Xenopus tropicalis: one gene and its partner. The protein of the gene in region 1 purifies or fractionates together with the protein of each later gene. This does not show direct contact. Links are inferred from orthologs where the notes say so. Each region holds a gene or a part of one and is shown in the gene's direction. Other genes may lie near its edges. The genes, in order: asph and lrrc59.

Region 1 (3,831 bases):
TTAAATGCCTTTATAATGGGTTTGGATGTGTTAATATAAAAATGAATTTGGGTTTCATGTTTAATTTGAACAGGACTTTTAATTTACAGATTTTCATGTCTGGGTGACAGGTCCACTTTAAAGGCAGTGGTACATAGGACCGTTGGCAATTATAGAAATAACTTTGGGTATATTGGTCAGTTGGTGTATTGTGTGAAAATACACAATTTGACATGCCCATAGCACTCCGTTCTCAGGAATGACGATATTTCTGGATATTATGTCAGCTGTGTTTTAACTTGAAACACCCAATGTTGCTCCTTTATTCTACATTGCTGCTTCCAACACAGCGCTCATTCATCTCTGTCTTGATTCTCCCTTACCTAAACTGATCCTTTCCAAGGTCCAACTCTGCTCCCTCTTGCTTTTCCATCAAGGCTGATTAAGGGGAACATTACAATAATATAACTTAAAATAACAAAAATAAACAAATAAACAAAAATAACATTTAATCTTAAATGTTATTGTAACAGAAACACAAGGAAGGAGTTCTTTGTCATCCTTAATTAGAGATACAATCGGCCAGGGCGAGCACATTTGTATTTTAAAGCTCATATTGCCCTGTGTATGGCCCTGTGCATGCTCATTTATTTTTAGTTAGAAAAGTGCTTGTGACCAGCCTCTTATTCTGCAGCCCTGATCGAGTGCTTGAGGCTACCTGCATGAGTGGGAATACTTCAGATTATGAAAAATACATACACTTTAAAACATGCCCCAATGCTTAGCATCTCATTATGAAACTCCTGCTGTGCACAAAGTCTTCATGTATGGGTTGAAGCCTCTTGCCTCAGAAATAATCAAAGAATTGCTGGCTTCAGAACTTGACCTTCTCTGTTTCTGATAGACATTAAGATATTTGTCAGTGAGCCCGCTCCCTTAAATTATTCAGTAAAGCTCTAAATCCCATTATCACAGCATGAAGCTTTTATTCTTTGTAAAAGATATAAATTGCACCAGTTTAGGGGACCTCTATTATTTTTGTATTGCAAACAACACTAAACAGTATTACTTTGTATTAACTTATGTGAAAAGTTTTTATGAGGATACGTTTAAAATATATTTATTTTGACGGCATCTGTGCTTCATTCCTGCTTTGGATTTTTTTTTTTTCTATGGTCAGTTAAGCTTTTTTTGAAGTCAGATGGTCCACCTATAGCATGATAAATGTAGAGCATATATGAAGTGAACCATTTTTCTTCTGTTGAGAATGGATTTTCAGGATGCTGAAATGTACTTTTATTCATTTGGACCAGCCATTATACCCCTTTTCATGTCTTTGGAGTAATTTCTACATTTCTAATAAAGGGACATTAATAAATTATACAAGATAATTATATAATTGTCATGCTGTTAGTATGGGGATATCATATATTCTGCCTCATAAGACTATAAGAGCTATATTTGTCTTGAAATAGCTTCTTTTTTATTACTTCACAATGATTTAAATAGTTGTTTCGTTTTGCTAGTGTCGTTTATCTGAACACGAAAGAAAATTCTCCTGTACAACTTGCTTTTACATGCTTTCTGAATAAATGGCTATGCCCTGTTTGTCATGTTATTCCTTTACCAAATGACTCTTTACAAACTGGGGTTTGAACCTGGCAAATTCAGGTACTGCTAGTACATAAAGACCAGGGGAAATTTTTAAGGTCTCTTAATAGGGGTCTCTTTAATGAGACTGGGTACTTGCCAATAGATTATACCTTCTCCAGAAATCTTTCGTAAGCAGGTCTGATGCAGTATATCAATAACTTTAGTATGTAGGTTTTGATTTCCATTTTTTTTAAACAACTATGTATTAAATGTGTTTTTTATTCTTTTATAACAGTTAATGGTGGTAAAAATGGCAAGAAAGAAGGCTTGTCCGGAAGCTCCTTTTTTACATGGTTTATGGTGATTGCACTCCTTGGTGTTTGGACATCTGTTGCTGTGGTGTGGTTTGACCTTGTAGACTATGAAGAAGTTCTTGGTAAGTATTGTGCTCTCGCTTACAGTATTAAAATTTTGAATCATTTCATTATGCTTGAAAGAATACTACAATATTCTGGATTCCTTACTGATACTTATCAGAAATGGAATCCTTAGCATTGATAGCATGTGTAAAAAGGCTTGCACACTTGCTGAATCATGATTTTGAGATTAGTGGGCAAATAGTGAGTATAAGTTTGGCAAGCAGTGACATTGTGCCAAGAAAAGTTAATGCCTAACAATCGGCAGCTTCTTTGCCAGGTTTCTCAGTGTACATGCCCATACTGATAATGCTGGTTCATTTCTGATTATCATTGTCACTTAAATTGCAGATTACCATTATTGGAGCAAGGGATAACCAGTTAATACTTTTCTTTTAATTGCCAATATACATTTGTTTTAAACAGAGGCTTGGTACAGCTGAACCATATGACTGTATGAACTATAGGGTAAAATCTGTCTACACCCACCCCCATACCTCAGCAGGCCTGGAATCTAATGAAATTGAGTTTTATAGTTAAACCTTTGTCTTCAGCAAGTAGCTAATGTCTATTTGCACATTTGACAAATTGCATAAGTTATTTGGTTGGTGTTTGGAGTCTCAGCTGTAAACATTAATTTTTATTTATTTTTAAAGGAAAAGTAAAAATAGTAAAAACAAAGTAATCTTTATCAAAAAGGTAAATACAACCATAAGCACTAACAGAAAAGCTGCACTGAGTCCTCTAACAAAAGAAACGCAGGATTTCTTATCTCCCTTTTTGTAAACATGTTCTTTGGGTATCTGACTTCCTGTCTCAGAAAAATCATTCATTCCAGGGCCAGAGTCTGCACAGTTCTCTCCTCTCTTCCCTCTTCTGCTCCCCCCTCCCACAAGAATGCTGAGAACTCCCTCTCCCATCCCTTAGGAATGTGTGATCTGAGCTATAACAGCTAGAGCTGTAGCTGGAAGCTACTTAAAATGGCAGCTGCTGTCTTAAACAAAAGGAGAAAGCTTCTAGGGCTCTTTACTCCGGTATGGTAAAGGTTTCTGCAGAGTAAATATAGTGTTCTAGGTGGCACTAATGTGGCCAACCTATTGGCAGTAAAATGCCAAAACGACATTTCTTCTCCTTTAAAACCTAGTGAAAAATGGGGAAACTAGCTGCATTTTGCTTGATTGGCATGCTTTGGGTATCTTGCCAAATGTGCACCTATAAAGCAATAGATATTCCACAAACCAACCCATACATTGATTTGTGAACACATATCTCGTATGTATTCATTTGATTAGTCTTTGATTAGGGCTTCCTTCACTATGGGGCAGAATTATCAAAATATGAGTTTAAAGCTTAATACATACACATTTTGTTCATTTCTATAGCATTTTTAGAAGCCTGTTTATCAACTGGTGAGTTTTACCTATTGATAAATACACTTAAAATATCCCATAGGAATGACTAGAATGTGACTAAGTTTCTATATTTCTAACAATATTGAAATGTATTCAGCCACGTACCTAGCCATAAAGATATATTGTCTAATGAGAGCTGGTTACAGTTTTACTTTAATTTGGGGACATCATATTGTATATGTAGATTATGATTTTGGGAAAGTATTACCTCTGAATATATGTGTTTGGGCAAATGCTAAAAAGATTGAATTGGAGTATTCCTAGTAAAAAATATTGTTTGATACATCAATGACCATGACTAAAGATTTTTTTAAGAGTGAATGCTCAGTATCCAAGCATATTCTTTCACTTAATTACATCCTTTTTCAATGCTTTTATTACTTTATTGTTAATGCTGTTGTGCATAGTGCAATGTTAAATGGTATATTGCA
Region 2 (2,925 bases), on another chromosome or scaffold:
AGCTGCTGATATCGGTCCCTTAGACCAATTCCAAGTGAGCGGATCTTAGCGTTTATGGCCACCTTAGATGGTTCGTTGATAGTATAGGAGGAACAAGGGAGAAGATTGTGGGTGTGGCTGGAATGGGTGCCGGTGGTACAGCCTGTGATATGTACATTTTCTTTGCAGAGTCTGAAATGGCTGGATCTGAAGGACAACCCACTGAAACCAGCTTTGGCCAAGGTAGCCGGCGATTGTTTGGATGAAAAACAGTGCAAAGAGTGTGCCCAAGGGGTAAGTGATGGCAAAATATAAATCGCCTGTTAATGACATTTAGGAATGGCATTTAGGCAGCTGATTTGCTGGTTTTATCTTAATGCAGGTTCTACAGTACATGAAAAGCGTCCAGTCTGATCACGAGCGAGAGCTACAGCGGAAGCTTCAGTTGGATAAAGGTAACGCTAAGCCAGGGGGGTACCAGAATATCTGCCGTTGGTCAGCGCGTCTGTGTATATTGACCTCTTGGGTTTACTTGCAGATCGGAAACAGAGACTTGAAGCCCAGCAGAGGGTTAAAGAGGAGCAGGACAGGGAATTGAGGAAGAGGATGAAGCAGCAGCAGAAGGAGCGCAAGAGGAGGGATTACAATGCCATGCAGGAAGCCCAGAAAGCCCTAAATAATAATAAGAAGAAAGCAGAGGAAGAACCTTCCGAGAACCACAGTGAGTGTCCAAGGCTATGGCATTATATAAAGCCACTGCCCAGTCTTCTCATAGGAACTGTAGTTTAACATGGGATTAAAGGTGAATGGTGTTGCCTGAAAAAATTACATCCATCATATCCAACCTTTGTGTCTTAAAGGGGTTGTTCTCAATTTTCATTTTTTCTTTGAGTTTTTTTTGTTATTTAGTTTTCTGTTCAGCAGCTATCTGGTTGCTATGGTCTTGTTTACCTTAGTAACCAGGCCGTCATTTGAATAAGAGACTGGAATTTAAATAGGAGAGGATCTGGATAGAAAGATAAGTAATAAAAAGTAACAATAAAATTGAAAGCTCACAAATCAATAGGTTTTTTTTCACTACCGGGGTCAGTGACCCCCATTTAAAAAGCCAGAAAGATATTAAAGAGGAAGGTAAATAATTTGACAATTCTAATGAATAAATAATGTAGACCAATTGCAAAAGTGGTAGGAATAGGACATTCTATAACATACTAAAGGTAAACCACCACCTGCTAGGAATAAATCTGGCTATAAATGGGCCAATAAAAGTGACTAACTTTACCTCTCCAGGCCAAGCCGGCAGCTTATTGAGCCACACATGGGGGCCCTAGGATAGGCTATATATGACTGTGTCTCTCTTTGCAGAACCAGTGCCCACCCCCAAGGAGAAGAAGCTGGCCCGACGCCAGTCAAGGCTGAGGAAGATTGCTTGCATCCTCCTCTTTGGACTCATGGTGGCGCTCTTGGGCGTGGTGGCCTGCCGCTTCACAGATCTGAAGACCTTCGAGGTGTGCAGGAGTGTGAATGCCGTGTATAAGGAGACCCTCAGCGCTCTGCACAGTAACCCCGTGCTGGAAAGGTTCCTGCAGGACCCATCCTCACAGTAGCGTGGGCATTTTAATTCAGTTGTGCATTAAGTAGGGGGGCTTCGGCACCCCCCCGGTTCTATTTGTAAAGTCACCATCGGGTTTACAGTCTCTTTTGTCGAGGCTTATGGTGGTCCCGGCCCTGTTGTTCATCAGTGTTCTTCCTAAAAATGTATGATTTGTGTTTAATTAAAAGAAGAGTGAGTGTGTGTGTGTGTGTGTAAGGGGGTGGCTACCCCTCCTAGGTGTGGCTGGTTTCCCGCTCCCCTATATATGTCATTTTCTTTTTTTTTTTAATCCCTATGAGTTCCAAAGGGTTTTGCAACATTTCAGAAAGGAAAATGTCCAAGGGTTAAATGGACTTTTTCTAAAGGAACGACCCCATGGAAGCCCGAATCTCTAAAGGGGGGGGGGGGGGGGGGGGGGGGGGGGGGGGGGTGGAGTTAATTCCATGTTTTGGGAGCCATGCTTTACTTATGGGGAGGAGTTAACTAAAAAAAAGTGTTTTTAATCATGAGCCCCGCCTTCCATTAAGGGAGGAGCTACCTCCATATTTTGGGCCTTATTCTATTGTGCTTTGGAGGGACGGGTGGAGCTGGTCTCCAGAAGAAAACCTAATACTATGAATAGAAGATCATTGCACGTAGGGCGGACACCCTACCCCAAGGTGCCATGCTGCTTCAGGTTGTTCAAGTCATTCACAATGGTATCGATGTGTTACTGCCATGTATTATACTGTGTATTTGGTACATCAGCACCAGCCTGACCATCTGCCGCAGTCGAGAATAAATACGGTTTTGTTTATGGCTTGCCTGTGGCTCAGTTATTTATAAGATTAGTATGATAAGAATGCAATTGGTCTTCATTTATTATTATTTGTAGCATTTTAATTATTTAGCTCTTTATTTTGCTGCTCTCTAGTATGGAATTTTAGCCGTTTTCTGGTTGCTAGGGTCCAAATTACTCTAGCAACCAGCAATTGATTTGAACAAGAGACTTTTATATGAATAGGTGAAGGCCCAAATAAAAAGTTAAGTAATTAAACAAATAACAGTAACAATAAAATGTAGCCAAACAGAGCAATAGTTTTCTGACTGCTGGGGTCAGTGACCCCCATTGGAAAGCTGGAAAGAGTTAATATAGAAATAAAATAAGACCCTTTGAAAAGTTGCTTAGTATTAGCCTTTCTAGTAATATACTAAAAGTTAACTTAAAGGTGAACTACCACTTTTAAAGGTGTAGTTTTTTCAAGAATCTTTCAGACCACTGCTTGGTTACTAGGGTCATTTGGACCCTAGCAACCAGATAGCTGCTGAAATTCCCAACTCGAAAGCTACTAAACACTAAATAATTTAAAAAC

What was found.
Region 2: the proteins of asph (region 1) and lrrc59 purify together in Homo sapiens (co-immunoprecipitation; 3 studies listed by BioGRID and IntAct, with this or other methods). This does not show direct contact. The link is inferred for Xenopus tropicalis from reciprocal best matches to the Homo sapiens genes ASPH and LRRC59.

Annotation. Positions count from the first base shown.
Region 1 is NC_030682.2:117,494,941-117,498,771, reverse strand, and holds part of asph (aspartyl/asparaginyl beta-hydroxylase), read left to right. Parts: intron 1-1,867; coding exon 1,868-2,008; intron 2,009-3,831.
Region 2 is NC_030686.2:43,888,727-43,891,651, forward strand, and holds the end of lrrc59 (leucine-rich repeat-containing protein 59), read left to right. Parts: intron 1-168; coding exon 169-273; intron 274-361; coding exon 362-434; intron 435-517; coding exon 518-700; intron 701-1,344; coding exon 1,345-1,586; 3' UTR 1,587-2,369; downstream 2,370-2,925.